Linked DNA regions of Xenopus tropicalis. The protein of the gene in region 4 binds, or shares a complex with, the protein of the main gene of each other region. Links are inferred from orthologs where the notes say so. Each region holds a gene or a part of one and is shown on either strand. Other genes may lie near its edges. The genes, in order: tmem67, tctn1, tmem107 and ahi1.

Region 1 (5,843 bases), on a different chromosome or scaffold from region 4:
TGACAATTTGGGACTCTGGATTTTGCAGCTGTACATCTGTGTATTGCACAGTCATGAGAGGTGGGTAAATTATTCCCTTGTAAGTGTCTGGTACAAGTCTAATGCTGTAAAAAATGAACATATAGTCAGTGTTTTGCTCCCAAATAGAGTGCAAAGAGTTGCATCTGACAGCAAACCTTATGCTCCTAGGTACATCTTTCGCCTGCTATTTAAAACAGAGGTGCACAAGGGTCGTCCATGGGCATCCACACCCCCTACTTGCACCTGCTCGGCCTGGCACAAGGCATTTTGCCCAAGTGCTTCATTTATGAAGCTCTATGACGTTCAATAAGTGCTCAAGCACTAGTGCTGTACCAGTAGTAAATTACCTTTAGAGTGCTTGATTCAATAATGTACTTCCAACACTGGTGTCCTGATCTTGATTCTGAACTAAGCACTATCCAAAAGAGTCTGAATGTTAGTAGGCTAATTAATTGGCTCTGCAATAAGTAAGCAGTCTCTGTAAAGCCCTGCATAAACTTGTAAGCATTCTACAAATAAAGCATAATAACAATAATTCAAATAAATTAACCATGATACTAATACTTTTTTTTATACTCTCTCTTGTACTATCTTCAAGCTTATAAAAATGTAATGCGCAATAACATGACAAACTTGTGCTAAAATTTGTGCTATTGTGCTAAAATTTACACTCTACCTGATTGTGATTTTGCTAGCCACTCTAATGAGCCTTGGAGGATCGGCCAGAGAATTTTCTCGCCCACTAATAGTATCCACCAGGAAGATTCGGCGAGTCAAGAGCCAGTTGTTGATGTTGTCTCCTGTAACAAGACAAATTATGTTTAGTGAAGGGGAAGTAAAATTCTACGCCAATAGTGCCCCAACCTGAAGCCCTAGCTGAACTAAAAGTTCCACTACCCCCCCCAAGAGTGTCACTGTTTGGAATTCCTAGTGCTGTTTATCTGCCTACTACCGAAAGAGAAGTGGCAAAACACCAGCCTTTTGTAAAAATATGAGACACATTCAAATAAACAAAGTGCAAGGTTGACACAACAGTAATATTGGTGATAAAAATGTTTGCCAAGGGTTGTCAAATCAACACTATAACTGGCTGTAAGCTAGTATAATGTGGACTGCTAGGCTATCTTTGTGTCTATAACACTGGTGCATCACAGACATCCTGCAGTACCATCAGGACTGCATTGGCTTTAAGCAACACCATCCCATGGGACAGTAAGCCGCTAATTTTGGATCAAAAAATTATACCTTGTTAAATTACATATTATGTAATTTTGATACTGGTTAAAAAATACAACACATATTTTAAAATGTGCAGTTTAAACAGTGTAATTAGAAATAAGAAGTACACCATAAAAATCATGACAAAATCCCTTTAAAGGGATCCCATCTAATTGAACTGGTTTATGTATAATCACATACATCAATCATATAAATGTCCATAGAATGTACCTTGGTTAACAAACATTTCATGGTACTGGAGGTTCAGGTTCAGGACTGGCACAGGAAGGAGATTCTGCTGCTTCTCATTCCCTGGGTAGGCCAGATACACATCATAGAACACAGGCTCGGGGTGGTCACGCAGGAGCTTAGAAACACTAATTCTACACTGCAAAGGAATGATATGACCAAGTGAACACGGGTAGCAAAATATACTGTGTGTGTATGTGTAGTTATGTATCTCTTTGTGGGCACACAGGAACACACACACATAAATACACATACTGCCCAGTTGCAATGTACTGTACATGCAAGTATAAATAAGGATTAGGTGTCCAAACTGGTTTCCACTGAAAGCCATTGCTACAGTACATTCCAAAAGAAGATACATTGGTAAAGTGGCAGCTCCTTATTCTTTACTTTCAGCTGGATCCTAATTAGAAACATCTCACTAAACAAACAGGACATAAAACTGCTTAAAGGGGCACTATGCCTAAATACACTTTTTTTCAACATAAGCCAACTAAGGCCAATGACAGACGAGGATAAATCTCCTCTAGCGGCAGCGACTAATCTCGTTTAACTTAATGAAGTTATATATTTGCCTTTTCTTTCAATTATTGTTAATTATGAAGCACATATAGATTATTTTGTTTTTATGCATCGCTTCGGCTTTCCGAAGTCACAGAATATACAAGTTCCAATGAGTCGTGTGAGAGAAATTACATCACTAAGCACCGATTGTAGCTGATGACATCATTAAGTACTATTTATAAGAATATAATTTACAGGATATTTATTTGCTCTTGTATTTAGAGATATATTTAATGCTTACTTCTTGTTTATACGTTGTTCCAAAGCTGAAAGCAGCATCTATCCTGGCCACAATATCAGGACACAACTGCAAGGAAAAAAAAAAATTGTGCAGTGGGTGAGTTTGGTGTTTTGGGGTGGGAAATGTATCCCTTACTGAACAGTTCCCTTACATTTAAATGCAGAGCTGGGCTTAGTACCACAGAATAAGAATGCTGACATATCTATTGTACTGCTCTGTACTGATGATGATAACGTTCTTCTCTGAAGTGTCATGTCACCATCTACTACATTGCGGCCCCATATCTCTTGATCTATAAATTTTCATAAAAATAAAAATGTAAATACCTGCAGTAGTCCTCCAGCCAATGATTGCCATTTTATAAAATTCCCTCGAACGTCATACACAGCCGCTAGAAACTGCAGTTTGGTATTTTCTACCTAGGAAGGAAGCACATCAGATTCCTATTTGTATCTGTGGGCTGCCTGGGACTGTCACATACAGGGTATATTTCTACATTGCCACCATGATACAAAAAGTGCCACAGAACCAATGTTGAATCACTTATACATTTGTAATTCAAATGCTGCAAAAGAATCCATCCATGCATAAATATTAGAACAAGCTGTTCAGCTTTCCATTGTAATGGGCCAGTGTCTCACTCCAGCTCAATTTTGGTGGCCTTTTCATACCTCCTCACTTTCTTTAAAAGTATAGCTTGTGGGAACTGGAGAGGACACAAGAGTCCTGGAAGCCAGTCCAGGCTGGTCACCATAGAAGAGCCATGGCAGATTTGTTCGCCTGTAGAAGACATGATATTTACTCTTGTAAATTTTCCAGTGGGCAGTGCTTTTTTTTTTCTACCAACAAAAAGAAAACACACTTGCCAGTATGAAAGGGAATGGATAACTCCTAGACCTGCTGTGCTTGTAAATATGTACTGGAACAGACCGCAAGCGTCAGCACTGGAAATACTTGTAGAATGCATGTTCATGACACACATGTTCCCCAGAGCTTGGCATGATGTTTGATTACTGTACATCTATGGACGGAAGAGAAATAAAGGCACCATGTTACAAGCTCTTCTGCAATTCAGTTAAACTATATTTTGTAGAAGGTCTTACATCTAATGTAACACTTTGGGCAGATTTATCAACATTGATTTTTTTTTGTGTTTGTTTTTATTTTTGTGGTTTAAGAGGTTTTTGAAACCACAAATAAACTATTTTCCGCTAAACCCACAAATGTCTAGTCATTTATTAAAACACTGTATCACAAATAATTACGTTTGCCATTTGTTTGCATTTTCTAATTTGTATCCGTTTTCTAAAACCTAAGCTTTATGCTTAGCATGAGTTCAGCTACTAAGTAACTATCAACTTATGTATCAAATTGAAACAATTAAAAAAAGTCACTGATCTGACTCAATGAGCTTCTTCTGGGAAACAGGAGAAGGGTAAAAAAACCAAATTTGTCAAAACTCACATTTTCGAAAAAGCAAATGTATCTAGCAAGGGCCAAACATCACAAAGATAAAGGCTTGTTGCCAGACAGATCACTGCAGGGCCCCATTATAATCTGATAATTGCTTTGCACTAAAAAAAATGAAATCATCCTTATTTGGCCCACGATTTCACTGGGCAAATCAAGTAAAGATCCAATTGTTTGACAACCTTGCCAGCTTTAGAAAAAAAGCTATTTAAGAGAATCTTACCAGACAAGCTGCAGCCGATGCTTGCAAATGCGTGGCAAACCATTCTGATCGCAATATCAAACCCTTAAAGAAAAAAGGTTAGATACATTCTCAGGGTTTCCTACTTTATGTAAATTTGCAAGCAAACACATCAACACAATATAGGGTCTCACCAGTTGGCTGTAATGAACAGTCAGAAGAGCTTTGGACAGGATACTCCCCGCTGCATTATAGCATATGCCTCCAGTCTAGAAAATATGTAAGTAAATAAAAAAAATGTTGCATGAGCTTCTATTTTTCACTGGACACATTTTCAAATTTGAGCAAAATCCACAAAAAAATTACATCATAAGAAAGTTGTCACCTTCAATTGCCCACTGCTCTAAAGTCATATGACTTTAAAGAAGAACTAAACCCCCCAGGAACAAAAGCCCCCCTCAACTGCTCTCCATCGCCCCCCTTCACCTCTCCCTTCTCGCACAGCCTATTACTTTGAAAAGTTTGTGTAGCCAAGAGGAGGCAGAAGCTGAACTTGTCAATTAATTTTTACTGAAGTGTGTAAGGGATCAGATTCACTTCTCTCAGTCTGCAAAAAACTGCAGGCTAAGAGCAGCGGAGCAAATGCTCTGTGTGCTCTCAGCCTAACAGTCAGGCTTTGGTTTAGCCAGGCACTTGGGATTTAACAATATCTTGCAAAAGCGTTGAGGTTCTGCAAATTCTCAACAGAAACCTGAATTTGGCAAGTCCCTAATACATAGTGAGTGCTAGTTACAGTTGCGCTATGACCCTAAATGACTTTCTTACCATAATATTTGGCTGGTTACAGCTGCATGAGTTACTCCTGTTGATAACCGTGTGATGGCACCGTTCACACCTAGACATACAAAAAGAGCAAAATATTAGAGCAATGAAAACATACACAAACTCAGGTAGAATAACTGCGCAAACCACTGGTACAAACATACACAATGGCAATCTGTATATTCTGGCAAATGCTGTAACATTCTATAGACAGTCAATTTTTATTGAGACTGTTTTCAGCTGTTTGGGCATCACTTTACTTAACATGGCAGGGCCTAGAGCACAAAGAAATGTAAAAATATGCCTCTTAGAGCACATTTACACTGCACATGCTAGTACCCACAAGTAACTACAGTACCCACAAGTGCACTTTAATGGTTTCAAGTGATTACCATTAAAGTCAATTAAGGGTCAATTAACAGCATTTTGCCACTTACCAAGCTGGAAATCATACAGACAGCAAAACATTGTGACTTCTTGATAATAATATGGGTTAAGTAAACTCACCTGTTTCCTAGGGTGTTGGCAGCAGTGAAGGAAGGTTCAGTCCCATCGCAGTCAATGCATTCTGCTTCTAACAGCAAGGAGCCATTCACATCTCTTTCCACTAAAATACAAATTATGTGCTATATTACTCTGCCTGTGATTTTGTGACAAGTGCATTTTAACTGTCCATGTATGCCTCCATGTGAGGGACACAACATGCTAGCTGGAAAAGGAACGCTGGAACTGTTCACATCTTCTGGAAATGAACACTTTATCATTATTGGAAAGGGATTGCATAAACCTTGGCATGTAGCCACTGAATTAATCTTGACTGGTACATGGGGTATCTGTAGATGTGCAAGAATCTGCTTTTACAGCTCATCACTGGCTTTATATATCTCCATCGGAGAAAGACTGCACATTTGAATGTTTTTTCCATGAAAATAAGTTGTGTCATTATAGCTACTGTCAAGCAGTACAGTTGGATTCTGGAGCTGCATATGCATCTTTTTTATGGATGGAATTAGAGAACTTTACCTACAATTTTAGTCAACCAAACTCCTTAGCACAGGATTGGAGAAGAGCATGGAT
Region 2 (5,843 bases), on a different chromosome or scaffold from region 4:
CAGTCAAACAATCCAAATGTCTGTGAAGGTATGCTAAGTCTTAGGCTGATGCCACACGTGGCGTAGGGCTGATATTTTGGGCAAGCGGAAAAACGCTTGGCGAAAATTCAGCCCTACGCCTGCTACTTGTGCCTGCACTCGAATGAATGAGATACGCTCGGGTGCAGACACATGTAGCCGATATACGCATGAAAATGCGTGAGAATGCAAAGTCTCGCATTTTCATGCGTATATTGGCTACATGTGCCTGCACCCAAGCGTATTCCATTCATTCGGGTGCAGGCACAAGTAGCAGGCGTAGGGCTGAATTTTCGCCAAGCGTTTTTCCGCTTGCTGAAAATATCAGCCCTATGCCACGTGTGGCATCAGCCTTACTGCAAAGGGTCAGCCTGTGTATGGCAATCTTTAAGGAAAAGCTTTAAGATGAACTCTTAGTTAGTCTATGGCAGGGACATCAATGGGGGTACAAGGGCAACTGAGGCCCCACTGCAGAGATTGAAAAAATCATAAACCATAGGTTGCTGAAGGAATAGGGCTTGTGGGTGGGGTTTGTAATTGGGGAGTGGCCAGGGCAGATTAGAGTTAGGGCCCCATATTAACAGGTGGTAGGGTCCACCACCAAAGGGGGCCCAGGTGAATATTGGGTTAATAATTTGGGCCAGGGTGACTATCTGTACAGCTGGCCATATAGTAGTGAATGAATCCAGATAAATGTGTCAGTAGTTTTAGGGTGACAAGCGATCCTACCATTACGGATTACTCAAGGCATTAGTGGTCATTTACTAAGTGCAGGGCAGGGAACAAAGTGTAAAACTGACAGAATCACTTTGCACCCTGCCCAGTACTGCTCTAAATTTCCACAGGTCTCCAAAATGGATTGCACAGACCTGCATTCTACCTTGAATACAGCCTTGCCTGCTTTTGGCACTAGGTGCACAGCAAGACCCCAGACACAAGTGCTTTTTTTAAAAAAAAATATATTATATTAAACGCTATGGTCTAATTTTAGGACAACATTAACTTTATAGGCTCTGACTAAGTGCAGAATATAAGTCCTCTATTTATGTTTAGTAAATAGTTATTTCTTTGTGCAAAAAAAAGAGCTACATAGTACCTACCTGGACAAAAGCATATGTTATCTTTTCCGTAACATTAACAATCTGAGCTTGAGGATTTACCAGAGATCCATATTTTGTCCATCTCACTTCTAAGTCTAATGAAACTGGGATTTTGCAATCAGCCTTTGGTGAAAAACAAATATTAAGAAATTCAGCGATGTGAATATGTAGCAATAAAAAAAAAAACCATAAGAAAACACTGAGCTAAAACAGTTGAAGCTTTTCACACATCCAGTCTACATGTCTCCTGCATTTAAATTCTATTATGAGTCCAGGATGCTGGGAAGGATCCTGATTGGGCATCTCAGCTCTGTAACATTTTTCTTTTATTATTTCCTTTTTCTCTGTAATAATAAAACAGTACCTAGTAATTGATCCCAACTAAGATATAATTAATCCTTACTGGAGGCAAAACAGCCCTATTGGGTTTAATGTTTTAGTGATTTTTTAGCAGACTTACAATTATGGTGATCTAAATTACAGAAAGACCCCCTTATTCATAGAACCCCAGGTTAGAGCCATGTGCGGACTAATTTTTTTAAAACCCAGACCCCCAATCCGGACCCGTGGCCTGAAATCAAAACCCGCATTTTAACCAGCATGGACCTGCTACCCAACCCTCAACTGCCTTATCCGCAACCTGTTCCGTGACCCGCTTGACAACCATTAAACAGGGAGTTTTATTGCTGCAGACCGGAAGTGATATCTGAAATGGAGGGGGGGGGGGAAATGAGAAAAAAAAGTTTTAAAGTGTCTAAAAGGAGTAAAATATAGATAATGTAAGAAATATAGATAAGACCCGCATCTATATTTGCATCTGAAAAGCCTACCCGCAACCCGCGGGGTGCCTGCTTTTTCTGCAGGTATCCCACGAGAACCCAACCACTGCAGGACTCTACCCCAGGTCCCACACATTCTGGATAACAGGTCCTATACCTGTAAAAAAGATATTTTTTGCAGTGTTATAAATGATTGGAATTGTTTTATGTGTTTGGCTGCTTTATATACCATTATCTATACTTCTGACTGTGACTGCAAACATGTTTGGTGCAAAAACGGAAGTACAGAACGTTACCGTTGCGCTTTGTGGTAATGTAGAAGTGACAACAGTAATTGGTACCCAGTCCAGAACATTCTGTGGCTGAGAATTCCCAAAGGATGCCACATACTCGGGAAACTGTTGCCCTCTCAGCACATTCAAGATGGCAGTTGCTGCAACTTGACATGGTACAGGATACCTGGGGAAATAATCACATAATTACAATTATTCTCTAGTCCATACTGTATAGCAGAGGCCCCCAGATCCTGCTGATCTACAATTACAGAAATCAGTTAGTGGGGAAAGCTTTGCAGTGTCACAGATTATTTTCAGTGCAATAAGCCGCTGTACCTTTCCTAAACCAAACCTGCAAAAATACTATTTATATATACATACACATACATACATATATACACACACACACATATATATATATATATACACTTTATTATGACGAGGAGTACGGCCACAGATCAGTAACCACACATGCGCTGGCATGAAACAACCTGCTGGTAACTCAAATGCAAATCCTTCATCTTTCACTTCCTTTTTACTATGAAAATGTGAGGCAAAGGGGATACAGGAAACATTATAGACTGATGTATGTATCAGTCCAGGCTACATGGTTCCTGGGTGCATTATATTCTGGTTAAATATGGTTGCATATAAACTGGCTACATTTTCAGTGACTTTTATTGAGGCTTATCTGATGTATCTGTAACGGGGTGTTTCATTAAAAAAGGAGAGAATTCTTGCACATATTGCACCCAATTTACCCACCCATGTGCTGGGCTACATCAGGCTGATCTTACTGGTGCTGGGTCTGAAGGGGCTCAGTTAGCAGCTTTTATCAGCCCATGTTTGGCCAGCTTTAGTTTTTAGAACAAGATTCATTAAGTCATATTCAAGTTGTAGCACATTTATAGCTTTCATTCCCTAGTGTTAATATTACTGCTTAACCATGCCCAAATCATATAAGGTTTAAGGCAGCTCTGCTATTATACAGTGTTTGAGTTACTTACTGCAGTTTACAGCCGGATACCATGTTGTACCCAAACAGCACTGCTGCCCTGTTGCCTTCTTCTGTTAGACAGTTTTGGCCAGCTGAGCTTCGTAGAATAGTTAGTTGGGCAAACCTGTTTGTGTTCTGAATAATGCCTGATTTATACAACTGTTAAGAAATATATATATATTATGAATACACAAAGGAATACACGTATTTAGATCTATTCATTTTAAGCTCTTCATTTAGCTCTATTCATTTTAAGAACAGACCTGGCAAAGCTCTAAACTGCGCCATGTGTTTAGTGCCTATTGGTAATAAATTATTAGGCCCAACTACATCTATAATTTGTTTTCTAATTTAAGTTAATTTAACTGGATTTGTACACCACATTGGAAAAGCATACTGGCCACATACCTGCTTCACTGCCAAAAGGATACTGACTGACCCTTGATGTGGCTTGATAATAAAATCTAGTAGGCAGTGGGCCTACACAGGCCAACCAGGAACGGTATTTGACCAATTTGGCCCATAGGCTGAACAAGCAGATTCTGTTTGAGGGGCCATATATGGCAAGCTTGTCTCTCTGCTGTACACAATTTTATTGTTACACACACACACACACATATATATATATATATATATATATATATATATATATATATATATATATATATATATATATATATATTTGGGCTGTTTTTTGCTCTAGTCCTCTAGTTTTCTAATATAGATGCATATTCATTATAGTAGTTAGACAGTTGGGTCCGTGCCACAAGAAAAGGATATTGTGGTTCCTTAAAGCCAGCAATGACTGGTAATCCAACTATATAGCCAGGGTTTCCACTGAGAAGAGATGGGAAGGTTCCATCCTGTAATCAATAAAACAATTTCAAAATCAAGTTTAGTTGGATCCAGAGAGATTTGGTATAACCATAATACTGCCTGCCATCATTACCAACTCTCCTTAATTGCATCATTAATGAGCCTATTCCCATCAAAGTGTGATTGGTGAAAATGACTGCCCGCAAGCAGCAACAGCTACTGGGTTAGGTTAATGATTTGTGAGTGGTAGAGAAAAACAAACACTGAATTCCAATTAATCAACAATTATCTTGTATGTAAAGACAAGTGTTGCTGCAGCACAGATTCCATTTGGTCTAAGCAATGATAGGCTGAGCCTATGATATCCAATGTGTGAAAATAAGCAGCAACAAAAGCGAGTAAGGTGGTAGCACTTGATTAATCTGTACAGCCCTACCACTCCCCAAATCATTCACTCACTATTGCCTTTACTATCCTGTGGAATGTTTTAGATTACCTTTTGGCACATCATTATATGCGATAAGCGTATTTTACTGGGACTGAAAATTCATGTGTCAGCTATGTACTGTAATACAGGGCAGAGGCACCACTTGTATAAGGGAAACTGCTTAACATGGCCAATATAACTGTCTCCAGAAAGACAAGTTACAGTAAAAAAAAAATATAGTCACTTGGGTGCAAACATTTTTGTAATTTTATCCTATATATATTAAAGGATAAGGAAAGGCTAATAAAGAGTTAATCTCAAGCTGCAGGCATACCTTCAGTTCTCTCAATAGTGCCCTTAAGTCTCCCCATATTTCTCCCATAGCCTCATAGGAAAAAAAAATGCTGAGCTCTGTAAAAAAAAAGTTCCCATAATGCCTCGCTCCTGCACCAAGACCAAGACCGGTGTACATGCTCAGTTTGTAAGACTATGAGGAAGCTTCCTGCTGATTGGCTAAGATCACACATTCCTAAGGATGGGGGGGGGGGAGTTTTTAGCATTCTTGAGGGAGGGGGAGCAGGAGAGGGGAGAGGGCTGCGTGTCTCTGGCACAGGAAAACAAAAGAGAAAAGAAATCCTGTTTCTTTTGACAGATAAGATAACTTTCTGTGAGTGCTTATGGCTGTATTTACATAGACCTTTCTGATAAAGCTTACTTAGTTTTTACCTTTCCTTCTCCATTGATAATTCTAAATAGAAATATAAAATATGCAAAATAAAATCTTTAAAAAAAAAAAAAATATATATATATATATATATAAGAGCTTTCAATCTTAAAAGTATTATTCAAAGCACAGGACTGATCCGATTTTATATGCACACACTTATACATTCTATATAGTCACTGCAAAAAAAAACAAGAGAATAAAACACACCTGAACAAAAGAAACTTTAAAACTTTGCTGAACTGTTCCCAGAGTAGCGTTAATTACTCCCAATATGAGGAAAGCATTTACAGCTGTAATTGCTCCTTGTTCTGTGTATAGGATCTGGTAACTCCCCTGAAAGGCAAGCATTAGAATTCAGTTTTATTTGCTCTACTTTCATGTTTATAGTGTATAAAGAATCAGTGACGTCCTGATACACTGTCATAAACCGGAGTAACAAATGCTAAGTGAGCAGCCCCTCTTGTACTGGTTATAGGCTGTATTTTTTGCATGTAAATCTGTATGTTCAATGTATACACCCATTTATTATACAGTACTGCAGAAGGTGTTGGCTCTTTATAAATTTGTGTCAACAATAATCATATAAAGGCTTCTGTATCAGACGTGCTGTCATGAAAAATGCTAATACTTTTAAGGGAAATTATACCGACCAGGTATGAACTGTACAATAAAGATTGTGCTCATAGAGTAAAGAAAGCAGGCTT
Region 3 (6,378 bases), on a different chromosome or scaffold from region 4:
GGCAACCCTCTCATATAATATATCCAGGCTTCCCTGACTCCTATTACTGTATATACAGGCCGGTAACCCTCTCATATAATATATCCAGGCTTCCCTAACTCCTATTACTGTATATACAGGCCAGGGACCCTCTCATATAATATATCCAGGCTTCCCTGACTCCTATTACTGTATATACAGGCCAGGGACCCTCTCATATAATATATCCAGGCTTCCCTGACTCCTATTACTGTATATACAGGCCGGCAACCCTCTCATATAATATATACAGGCTTCCCTGACTCCTATTACTGTATATACAGGCCGGCAACCCTCTCATATAATATATCCAGGCTTCCCTGACTCCTATTACTGTATATACAGGCCAGGGACCCTCTCATATAATATATCCAGGCTTCCCTGACTCCTATTACTGTATATACAGGCCGGTAACCCTCTCATATAATATATCCAGGCTTCCCTGACTCCTATTACTGTATATACAGGCCAGGGACCCTCTCATATAATATATACAGGCTTCCCTGACTCCTATTACTGTATATACAGGCCAGGGACCCTCTCATATAATATATACAGGCTTCCCTGACTCCTATTACTGTATATACAGGCCGGTAACCCTCTCATATAATATATACAGGCTTCCCTGACTCCTATTACTGTATATACAGGCCAGGGACCCTCTCATATAATATATCCAGGCTTCCCTGACTCCTATTACTGTATATACAGGCCGGTAACCCTCTCATATAATATATACAGGCTTCCCTGACTCCTATTACTGTATATACAGGCCGGTAACCCTCTCATATAATATATACAGGCTTCCCTGACTCCTATTACTGTATATACAGGCCAGGGACCCTCTCATATAATATATACAGGCTTCCCTGACTCCTATTACTGTATATACAGGCCAGGGACCCTCTCATATAATATATACAGGCTTCCCTGACTCCTATTACTGTATATACAGGCCAGGGACCCTCTCATATAATATATCCAGGCTTCCCTGACTCCTATTACTGTATATACAGGCCGGTAACCCTCTCATATAATATATCCAGGCTTCCCTGACTCCTATTACTGTATATACAGGCCAGGGACCCTCTCATATAATATATACAGGCTTCCCTGACTCCTATTACTGTATATACAGGCCAGGGACCCTCTCATATAATATATACAGGCTTCCCTGACTCCTATTACTGTATATACAGGCCGGTAACCCTCTCATATAATATATACAGGCTTCCCTGACTCCTATTACTGTATATACAGGCCAGGGACCCTCTCATATAATATATCCAGGCTTCCCTGACTCCTATTACTGTATATACAGGCCGGTAACCCTCTCATATAATATATACAGGCTTCCCTGACTCCTATTACTGTAAATACAGGCCAGGGACCCTCTCATATAATATATACAGGCTTCCCTGACCCCTATTACTGTATATACAGGCCGGCAACCCTCTCATATAATATATACAGGCTTCCCTGACTCCTATTACTGTATATACAGGCCAGGGACCCTCTCATATAATATATACAGGCTTCCCTGACTCCTATTACTGTATATACAGGCCGGTAACCCTCTCATATAATATATCCAGGCTTCCCTGACTCCTATTACTGTATATACAGGCCGGCAACCCTCTCTTATAATATATACAGGCTTCCCTGACTCCTATTACTGTATATACAGGCCGGTAACCCTCTCATATAATATATACAGGCTTCCCTGACTCCTATTACTGTATATACAGGCCGGCAACCTTCTCATATAATATATACAGGCTTCCCTGACTCCTATTACTGTATATACAGGCCGGTAACCCTCTCATATAATATATACAGGCTTCCCTGACTCCTATTACTGTATATACAGGCCGGTAACCCTCTCATATAATATATCCAGGCTTCCCTGACTCCTATTACTGTATATACAGGCCGGCAACCCTCTCATATAATATATCCAGGCTTCCCTGACTCCTATTACAGTATATACAGGCCGGCAACCCTCTCATATAATATATACAGGCTTCCCTGACTCCTATTACTGTATATACAGGCGGGTAACCCTCTCATATAATATATACAGGCTTCCCTGACTCCTATTACTGTATATACAGGCCGGCAACCCTCTCATATAATATATCCAGGCTTCCCTGACTCCTATTACTGTATATACAGGCCGGTAACCCTCTCATATAATATATACAGGCTTCCCTGACTCCTATTACTGTATATACATGCCGGCAACCCTCTCATATAATATATACAGGCTTCCCTGACCCCTATTACTGTATATACAGGCCGGCAACCCTCTCATATAATATATACAGGCTTCCCTGACTCCTATTACTGTATATACAGGCCAGGGACCCTCTCATATAATATATACAGGCTTCCCTGACTCCTATTACTGTATATACAGGCCGGTAACCCTCTCATATAATATATACAGGCTTCCCTGACTCCTATTACTGTATATACATGCCGGCAACCCTCTCATATAATATATACAGGCTTCCCTGACCCCTATTACTGTATATACAGGCCGGCAACCCTCTCATATAATATATACAGGCTTCCCTGACTCCTATTACTGTATATACAGGCCAGGGACCCTCTCATATAATATATACAGGCTTCCCTGACTCCTATTACTGTATATACAGGCCGGTAACCCTCTCATATAATATATCCAGGCTTCCCTGACTCCTATTACTGTATATACAGGCCGGCAACCCTCTCATATAATATATACAGGCTTCCCTGACTCCTATTACTGTATATACAGGCCGGTAACCCTCTCATATAATATATACAGGCTTCCCTGACTCCTATTACTGTATATACAGGCCGGCAACCCTCTCATATAATATATACAGGCTTCCCTGACTCCTATTACTGTATATACAGGCCGGTAACCCTCTCATATAATATATACAGGCTTCCCTGACTCCTATTACTGTATATACAGGCCGGTAACCCTCTCATATAATATATACAGGCTTCCCTGACTCCTATTACTGTATATACAGGCCGGTAACCCTCTCATATAATATATCCAGGCTTCCCTGACTCCTATTACTGTATATACAGGCCGGTAACCCTCTCATATAATATATCCAGGCTTCCCTGACTCCTATTACTGTATATACAGGCCGGCAACCCTCTCATATAATATATCCAGGCTTCCCTGACTCCTATTACAGTATATACAGGCCGGCAACCCTCTCATATAATATATACAGGCTTCCCTGACTCCTATTACTGTATATACAGGCGGGTAACCCTCTCATATAATATATACAGGCTTCCCTGACTCCTATTACTGTATATACAGGCCGGCAACCCTCTCATATAATATATACAGGCTTCCCTGACTCCTATTACTGTATATACAGGCCGGTAACCCTCTCATATAATATATACAGGCTTCCCTGACTCCTATTACTGTATATACATGCCGGCAACCCTCTCATATAATATATACAGGCTTCCCTGACCCCTATTACTGTATATACAGGCCGGCAACCCTCTCATATAATATATACAGGCTTCCCTGACTCCTATTACTGTATATACATGCCGGCAACCCTCTCATATAATATATACAGGCTTCCCTGACTCCTATTACTGTATATACATGCCGGCAACCCTCTCATATAATATATACAGGCTTCCCTGACTCCTATTACTGTATATACAGGCCGGCAACCCTCTCATATAATATATACAGGCTTCCCTGACTCCTATTACTGTATATACAGGCCGGCAACCCTCTCATATAATATATACAGACTTTTATAGCTACTTATACTGTATAAATTAACCATTAAATATCTCACATACAAAGTATTCCCCGGGCAGAGACCAGTTAAACCAGTAACTTACTGGAACAAAACCCTTACCCGTTCCAATCTCCGAGCCGAAAACCCGCCGCTTACCGTTGCCTAGCAACCCCTCAGCGTCCTAACCAAAACGCGCAGGATTCAGGAGATTCTGACCATTCACCTACTGAGCCCCGGTCACATGGGGCAGAAGGCAAGTCCGCCATTATTGTAGCTGGAAGTTTTAGCGCTTTGTCGTAAAAGCGACGACACATCCCTGATTATGAAACCTGTCCCAAACTAACATATATATAGATGCAAAGCCTCCACAATGGCGGCTAATCGAAAAGAAGTTACAGTTCGAGCGAAAATATATCAAGCCATAGATGCAGGGGGGAAAATAAAAAGCTGAGTTGGCAGCGGTGGGATTCGAACCCACGCCTCCAGAGAGACTGGAGCCTAAATCCAGCGCCTTAGACCGCTCGGCCACGCTACCTTCTTACTACAGGCCTGATGCACCCTGGGAATATTACTGGGTATAATGACGTCATTATGACTTTACTTCCCACAGTGAGGGAATTAACTGCATGGGAAGTTACACAAGGGATTTATATATCCTCTATACAGGTGGTTTAGGCTCCTGAAACATTGTTTCTTTCCCACCCTCCAGGGGGCGGGGGAAGCAGCACCTCCCTGTGCATACCCCTTGACTATCTGGGCCCACCAGGGTCGGACTGGGCCGCTGGGACACCGGGACAAATCCCGGCGCTCCCCCTGCCCGACCGTTCCTCCCCTGAGGCGTTAAATTTACGGGAGCTCAGGGGAGGACGTCGGGTGGGGGACCCTGTGGGGGGTTGGGGGGGTTAGGGCGGGAGCCCTGGTGTGCCCTGCACCCCCCCCAGTCCGACCCTGGGGCCCACAGATATAGCTATCTTTCACTCCCCAAAATGTGTAGGGCTGTATAACAAACTGCCTAGATCTTCTAATCAGGCATTGGCCCATCTGGAACGCTCTCCAAAGAGTGGCCCCTAAGCCAAATGGATGGAGAGCATACAAGTAAAGGTGGCCATACACGTAGCTGAAGTTCAGGGCTGAATCATCAGATAAGGAGGTAGAAACAATAGAAATTCTACCTCCTTCAGCCCTGAACGTAGATTTTGCTCGGGCGCCTTCAATGGCGCCTTCAACCGATATCCACAGCCTCTGGGATATTGGTCGCCTCTACAAGTCACCATACACGCACCGAATATTGTACGAGATGATAACATCTGTGCGTGTATGGCTGGCTTACGAATGCCTTTCTATTGTTCCGATTACTGATTGATCAGAACAGCAGGAGGGAGAGAGAAGGTGTAGTAAGGTAAACTGATAGATCGATAGAAAGAGATACTGGGGAGAAGCAGATGAAGGTCTCTCAGGGAAGAAGCGTTGGATCAAGGAGATCGTGGGAGAAGCAGATGAAGGTCTCTCTGGGAAGAAGCAGTTGGATCAAGGAGATGGTGGGAAGAAGCAGATGAAGGTCTCTCAGGGAAGAAGCAGTTGGATCAAGGAGATGGTGGGGAGAAGCAGATGAAGGTCTCTCAGGGAAGAAGCAGTTGGATCAAGGAGATGGTAGGAAGAAGGAGATGAAGGTCTCTCAGGGAAGAAGCAGTTGGATCAAGGAGATGGTGGGAAGAAGGAGATCAAGGTCTCTCGGGGAAGAAGCAGTTGGATCAAGGAGATGGTGGGAAGAAGGAGATGAAGGTCTCTCAGGGAAGAAGCAGTTGGATCAAGGAGATGGTGGGAAGAAGGAGATGAAGGTCTCTCAGGGAAGAAGCAGTTGGATCAAGGAGATGGTGGGAAGAAGGAGATGAAGGTCTCTCAGGGAAGAAGCAGTTGGATCAAGGAGATGGTGGGAAGAAGGAGATGAAGGTCTCTCAGGGAAGAAGCAGTTGGATCAAGGAGATGGTGGGGAGAAGCAGATGGAGATCAGATGGCAGATGAAGATCTTCTTCTTGAGGAGGTTTTGATGGAAGAAGATTCTCCTATGAAGCAGTCAGGGGACAGAGTTATAAGGAGGAAGCTGTTGGAATAAGTTGATACTAAGTGTAAGCGGCAGGATGAGGAGCTTGAACTAGTGGAATGCAAATACTGAAACAGCAGCGCACTGGGAGGAAGGCAGTGAAAGAAAAACCAGCAGAGAAGTGCTTAGATCAGTACTAGGCCCCAGTGGGAAGTAGTAAGGAGAGTGTACTGGGGGGGGAGTAGCTGAATCAGTACTAGGCCCCAGTGGGAAGTAGTAAGGAGAGTGTACTGGGGGGGGGAGTAGCTGAATCAGTACTAGGCCCCAGTGGGAAGTAGTAAGGAGAGTGTACTGGGGGGGAGTAGCTGAATCAGTACTAGGCCCCAGTGGGAAGTAGTAAGGAGAGTGTACTGGGGGGGAGTAGTTGAAAGAGAGACCTCAGTGGAAAGTAGTAAGGGGAGAGTACTGGGGGGGGGGGAGGTTGGAAAAGAAACCTCTAAGAAGTAGAGAAGGGAGAGTACTGGGAGGGAAGTAGCT
Region 4 (6,501 bases):
TATTGCTATGAGTCTCTTGTAATTGTGTTACAGCAAGATACTGTTTTTTCAAATCTAAGTTTAGATATTTACGCTTATTATCATAAGGTCCCTTTACATTAAAGAAGACCTGTCACCCGGACATAAAAATCAGTATAACAAAGTCCCTTTTAAATTAAACATGAAACCCAAATTCCTTTGTTTATTAACACATCTATACCCATTATATTATTGCCTGGCCTGCCGCTATGCCATTGCGGCGGGGCAGACAATTACTTTTACTTTACATTCAACACTCCCCCTCCTTCTCCACCATCTAATTGTGTAGCCAGTGCATGGGCATGTGCATCAGGTCCCCTGTTCTGGTGCATACACAAGATTTTGGCATGATACAAAGCTTGCCTTAATTACAGTTTCAACCACATGGCACCTGCCTGCCTGTGTTTGGGTAATTCCAAGACTTAAGGAAACAAGATTTACATTATTTATATAGTGTAAGTGAAGTTCATTTTACTTGACAAAGCAGAAAAAATTGGATTATTTCTTAAAGGAGAAAAAAAGTCAAAATCTATTAAGCACACTATTAAATAGTACTACTATTGCTGTGTAAAAACGCTATATTCCTGGCTTGCCTAATGAAAGATTTACAGAGATCCACATACTAGAACTTACATACTTGTTTCAGTGAACGGCGCCGCCATCTTGTCCAGCGTGTCTGTATGGGCTGAAAAGCACAAACCAGCTCCCCGCTCCTGTCACAAAGATTCTGCAGCTCCTGCCACAAACCCCCCCCCACTCCTGCCACAAATCCTCTGCCGCTCGCAGCACCTGCCCCCCTGCTTCCCCCTCCTCCTTGTCACAGAGTTTGGCGACGCTGCGTCGCCATGGCAAACGGACGCTCCTGCCCTGTGCACATGCGCCGCCTGCAGTAACAAGTCACCAAGTCTTGAAGGAGCGATGCATTATGGGAATCTTCTCTACCCAGCTCATCGGTTTTTTTTCCTGTTTGGCTTCTGATCTTCTGAACGGGTGAAGTATGAGGAGACTTAAGGGCACTATTGAGACAACTGAAGGTATGCCTGCAGTTTAGGATTAACTCTTTATTAGCCTTTCCTTCTCCTTTAAGGTGACATGTCAACTTTAAGGATGTTTCATGTAAAGTGGTGTCAGGCATTGAATTGTAAATAATGGAGAAAGGAATACCTGGCAAAACATATTTGTCCTATTGGGTCAGCCTTGCACCTGGCCCCCTCCAGCAGGCAATGTTTCAGCTTAAAATACAATATTAGTGTAGGCCACAAGTTTACTTCATGAAATGTGAGTATAATAAGTAGAAAAATGACAGAAAGAATCAAGTCCTGGGAAAAAAAAACACTGAAGGCGTCCTAAAGTATGTGGTATCACTGAAGGTTGTGATAGATGTTTCTTCTTTCAGTCCTCAGTTTATCAATAGTCTCAAATATCTATTTTCTGCAAGTCCCATATCTTAAATAAAGGCTATCACACTATCTCTGTGGACAGCGATAAAATACACTTTCTGTCACAGGGGCCAACAAGCAGATCATACATTAAAGGAGAAGGAAACGTAAAAACTAAGTAAGCTTTATCAGAAAGGTCTATGTAAATACACCCATAAGCACTCACAGAAACGCGAGTCCTCTATCAAAAGAAACACAGGATTTCTTGTCTCCTTTTTTGTAAACATGTTCTTCAGGTATCGGACTTCCTCTCTTAAGCAAACTGAGAAATCTTCAAGGGCTCTTTACTCAGGTATGGTAATGCTTTCTGCGGAATCTATTGGCAGTAAAATGCCAAAATGACTTTCACTCTCCTTTAAACCTAGGGAGGCTTTTTGAAGGAGGATTGCATCAACTTGCTGATGCATGCAGGATATTCAAACCTCTCTGACAGATACTGGGCTAATTTTTGGTCACAGCAGGCCCTTTCATAGTAACATAGTAACATAGTAACACAGTAAGTTGGGTTGAAAAAAGACATATGTCCATCAAGTTCAACCATAATGCCTATATATAACCTGCCTAACTACTAGTTGATCCAGAGGAAGGCAAAAAACCCCATCTGAAGCCTCTCTAATTTGCCGCAGAGGGGAAAAAATTCCTTCCTGACTCCAAGATGGCAATCGGACCAGTCGACACACAAGCTGCAGAATGAGTCCAGAGGGGCAACGTTGGCACCTTTAATAGCCCCCATATAACAGCCCTAATGCGCTGAGTGGCAGCCATCATAGCACCACAGCTTGTTTAGAAAAACATTACATTTGAAACTAAAAACACAGAATTTCCCACCACTGGGTAAGAGAACTCAGCACTGTAGTTAGATTTATATTTTTTGTGCATACTTCTAGTGCATTTGATATAAGGTTAATTCACCAGAGAAGGAAAATTAGAGTTACAGTACCACCAGACCTCCACCTGTTGTGGACTACTAAATTCAGATACAAGCTGATGCCTACTGTAACAATGCGCACAGTAACATCCCGATGCGGGACAGTCCCTATTTCAACAGCTCAGACCGGATTCTTACTGAAAAGTCCCTCATTTCACTTTCATCTCCTGCACTGAATGCTAAAAAAGATACAATGTTTCTGAAACTTAATTAAACAAGCAGCTTTTGGCAGAGAGCCCAGAAAAGTTAACAAGCAACACGAGCACTTAGATACAATTGTAACTAATAAGCTAAACAGTAGTGATGTGCAGGTCTACTATTTGTCAACCCACACCCGACCCTAACCCGTCCCTTCTCCACCGGCACCTGACCTGGCCTGCAGCTTCATGTCTATTTACAGATTTTCAGAATGTAAGCTCTTGCGAGCAGGGCCCTCCCCCTAGTGTCTCCGATCCTCATCCAATGTAACTGCAAACCATTTTTGTGTATTGTTTATATATACATGTTAACTGTTATGTCTTTTGTACCACTCTATTCTGTAAAGCAATGCGTAAATTGATGGTGCTATATAAATACTAATAATAGACCTGATCCCACCCCACCAATGACATTACTGAGGGAGTGGGCATGGCACGCGCCTATAAATAGACGCTGCCAGATCCGGTATTGGGGCTCCGTTAGGCTGCAGGCGGGGAGGAAAGCAGAAGGGCTTGACCCAACCAAAACCTGCTTTTGATGTTGCACTGCCAGCCCGAATCAGTGGGTAAACCCGCACATCACTACTAAATAGGTCTCTTGGGGGGAACTGAGACATACAGCTTAAAGGGCAATTTCACATTTTTAAGCAAAACTGTAATAACAAATAAAACATGACCCCCAAACCCCCCAAAAATTGTTCAAATTTTAAATAACCTGCCAAATATGGTAAAAATGGGAGTGGTATTTAGGGGGTGTGGTCACAAAAACGGGCGTGGTCAAAAAATTGCAATATGCACTGCATTTCTTTTTGTCCCTCTTTAGATTTTTCAAATACTGGGAGGTGTGCTTGGAGTCATTTCGCTATAGGATTACAGATGTCACCACCAGTGTTCCAGGGAACCGGTTTATGGTAAAACATTATCAGTCACTTGATCCTTCCTGGATTCAATCCCCCAGCCACCAATCACTATTATCATGGTACTCTGCAAAGATAAACAGTCTTCAATCTGCAGCCTCAGATCATAACACAGTATGACCAAAAAGCTAACAGAACAAAATAAAAAACAATTTAATCAAAATCAGGATAGTAGTGCACATGTTAGCAGTAGGCAAATTTGCACAATCACAGTCATTAATAACTAATTAGCTATTGTCATAGTGCGCCGCAGCGTCTACGGCAGGTCAAATAATACAATTAATACATATTACAAATGGGTACAGCTGTATTTTTTTTAATAACTTTAGAAAAACAAAATCATACTGTAGAAATGTTCTCATTTACCACATCTGCACGTCAAGGTATTGCATTCCGCCCAATAGTCCCGCTTTTTCTCAACGCAGCCCGCAGCCTCGGGTCGCAGCTTAAATGTCCCGCAACACTGTTTACGTCCTGCTCCTTGACTACCTCAGAACAGCTAATCCCCAATTCTCATCTCGCGAGAATGCGGCGTCACAACTACACGTACTAGGGACGCACCATTCAGTGGTTTTAGGGACAGTAGAGCGACGCGCGTTGGTGTGAGGGTTGGCGCAGCAGGGCGCTTGTCTGCTCGCATATTACTTTCGCTGTGCTGTCAGGGAGCTCCTACTTTTGTCAGGGATTCAAAAATAAATACTTTTTATTGCACAATTTAGGGTAAGAAAAAATGAATTTAGGAGAAAATGGGTGAAAATAGCCATAGTAATCAATAATTAAGCTCTTTTACCATTGTGGCGTCAGAGAGTCCCAGAAATATTTCACAATTTTAGGACAACTAGGGCTGATTTAGGAATAGGTAATTAAACTGGGATTTTGGCATTTTGTCCCTTGTTTAAGAGGGCATTGCTTTTCACAGTTTAGGGGGAAAAAAAAGTTATACTTTGTTGAGATCCCCATCACCATGAAAGCTTCATTTGTATGGAAATTTAATGAACTCTTATTATTACAGAAACAAACTAGAACGGAAATATCTGTTTCTATATCAGATACAATTTCGTTTAATAACCTCACTAAAACAGACCCCTCCACACTATGACCCCTAACACTGAAGGTAGTAACAGGTAACCTAAAAGCACTCAGCACAAAAATGAAAAAACAGAATAACGCTAATATACAAATACTAATGCAAGAAATTCACAATTTAGAGAGCAAACACAAGACAACACTGGCCAACAAAATACAAACCGAGTTAGAAACTGAAAGAATTCAGCTAAACACCTACTAGACTAGTTCACCGAAAAAGCATATTTAAAATGTAAAAGAGAATACTACGGCAAATATTATATATAAAAAATTGGCAAATAAACCATCTAAAATCCTATCCAGACTAATAAAAACGCAGAAAAACAAAACTTTTATCACACAAATTAAAGATTCAAAGCAAAAACTTAATCATACCTACCCAGATATAGCAAAATGTTTTAAGGAATTTTACCAGACCCTATACAATCTAAACCCAGGGACCCACAACCAAAACAAAACGCTAAAAAAAGAGCAATACCTAAAAAAGTTAGACCTCCCCAAAATCAAACCATATACAATCACAACTAGAAGCACCATTCTCAATAGAAGAAATAACAAAAGTAATTAATTATCTACCATCCAACAAGAGCCCGGGACTAGATGGTTATAGCGCAGGTTTCTATAAAGAATTCAACAACAAATAATCCCCATATTATTAAAACATTTTAACTCAATATCAGACAAGAACGCAAATTACTGTTTTGCATAAACCTAACAAAGACCCAGCAGTATGCTGCAGTTATAGGCCCATTTCACTTCAATCTGGACCAAAAACCATATGCCAAAATGATCGCCAGCAGGCTACAAATCATCACCGCTTTACTAATCCACCCTGAACAAACAGGGTTTGTGAAAGGCAGAGAGGTCAAAGATTATACCACAAAAATAATTCATGTCTCTAGCCATAAAGAGGAAAACACCTTCACTTTTTTTTAACAACCAACGCTGAAAAAGCGTTTGACAGGGTCAACTGGGCATATCTAAAAGCTACATTACAAACCTTTGAGTTCGGACCAGCATTAACAGCACAAATTATGGCACTTTATCATGCACCTTACGCACGAATAAAGGTAAATGGTATATTATCCCCAGCCTTAGAAATCTCAAACGGGACCAGACAGGGGTGCCCCCTATGCCCAATTTTATTTGTGTTAGTCATGGAGACATTGATAACCTCCATCAGACAAAATGTAGACATAACAGGCCTCAAAGTTGGCACCCAAGAATATAAAGCAGCAGCTTTTGCTGATGATCTACTGCCAGTAATCACTAACCACCAAATATCCCTCCCAAATGTAATTATAGAATTTAACAAATTCAGCGAAGTATCTAATTTCAAAATAAATTCCTCAAAATCTGAAATTCTCAACATAAATATCCCATTGGTTCAAGCACAGAATCTACAAACTTCTTTCCCCTTTAAATGGCTGAATTTAAATCTGAAACTATAAAATATCTAGGAATCAATTTAGCCCCCCACCCAGGCAGACTCACCAACGAAATTGAGTCTATGCTAAACCAATGGCAAGGCAAATCAATATCATGGTTCGGTAGAGCCAATGTGCTAAAAATGATGGTCATGCCTAAACTATTATACCTCTATCAAATGATTCCAATTAAGCTACCAGAGAATTTTTTTCTTAGGATCAAATCGTTATTCTCACAATTTCTTTGGGCCAAAAAGCACCCAAGAATTAAATATGAATACCGGATAGCACAAAAAGCAGATGGAGGATTGACACTTCCCTGCCTGGAAAAATACTATATAGCAAACCACATGCACAGAACATGTCTCTGGAAATGGAGACAATCTTTAAATTATGGAAAGAAGTTGAACAGCATGAAACAAAATATAATCTATGTAACCTAATGCACCTGAATTTCTCTGACTTACCTCAACAACTCAAAAACCATCC

The links.
Region 1: ahi1 (region 4) and tmem67 share a complex: the UniProt entries of both Homo sapiens proteins name them as parts of the tectonic-like complex. The link is inferred for Xenopus tropicalis from reciprocal best matches to the Homo sapiens genes AHI1 and TMEM67.
Region 2: ahi1 (region 4) and tctn1 share a complex: the UniProt entries of both Homo sapiens proteins name them as parts of the tectonic-like complex. The link is inferred for Xenopus tropicalis from reciprocal best matches to the Homo sapiens genes AHI1 and TCTN1.
Region 3: ahi1 (region 4) and tmem107 share a complex: the UniProt entries of both Homo sapiens proteins name them as parts of the tectonic-like complex. The link is inferred for Xenopus tropicalis from reciprocal best matches to the Homo sapiens genes AHI1 and TMEM107.

Annotation. Positions count from the first base shown.
Region 1 is NC_030682.2:127,746,284-127,752,126, reverse strand, and holds part of tmem67 (meckelin), read right to left. Parts: intron 5,374-5,843; coding exon 5,274-5,373; intron 4,840-5,273; coding exon 4,770-4,839; intron 4,214-4,769; coding exon 4,139-4,213; intron 4,050-4,138; coding exon 3,987-4,049; intron 3,315-3,986; coding exon 3,160-3,314; intron 3,074-3,159; coding exon 2,965-3,073; intron 2,713-2,964; coding exon 2,620-2,712; intron 2,360-2,619; coding exon 2,294-2,359; intron 1,628-2,293; coding exon 1,471-1,627; intron 822-1,470; coding exon 698-821; intron 105-697; coding exon 1-104. UniProt on the Homo sapiens protein: Required for ciliary structure and function. Part of the tectonic-like complex which is required for tissue-specific ciliogenesis and may regulate ciliary membrane composition.
Region 2 is NC_030677.2:162,901,390-162,907,232, reverse strand, and holds part of tctn1 (tectonic-1 precursor), read right to left. Parts: intron 5,473-5,843; coding exon 5,347-5,472; intron 4,033-5,346; coding exon 3,950-4,032; intron 3,321-3,949; coding exon 3,180-3,320; intron 2,357-3,179; coding exon 2,194-2,356; intron 1,242-2,193; coding exon 1,119-1,241; intron 1-1,118. UniProt on the Homo sapiens protein: Component of the tectonic-like complex, a complex localized at the transition zone of primary cilia and acting as a barrier that prevents diffusion of transmembrane proteins between the cilia and plasma membranes.
Region 3 is NC_030679.2:144,534,675-144,541,052, forward strand, and holds the start of tmem107 (transmembrane protein 107), read right to left. Parts: upstream 4,028-6,378; 5' UTR 3,921-4,027; exon of another isoform or gene 3,904-3,920; intron 1-3,903. UniProt on the Homo sapiens protein: Plays a role in cilia formation and embryonic patterning. Requires for normal Sonic hedgehog (Shh) signaling in the neural tube and acts in combination with GLI2 and GLI3 to pattern ventral and intermediate neuronal cell types.
Region 4 is NC_030681.2:71,849,461-71,855,961, forward strand, and holds the start of ahi1 (jouberin), read right to left. Parts: upstream 4,047-6,501; 5' UTR 3,866-4,046; exon of another isoform or gene 3,845-3,865; intron 1-3,844. UniProt on the Homo sapiens protein: Involved in vesicle trafficking and required for ciliogenesis, formation of primary non-motile cilium, and recruitment of RAB8A to the basal body of primary cilium.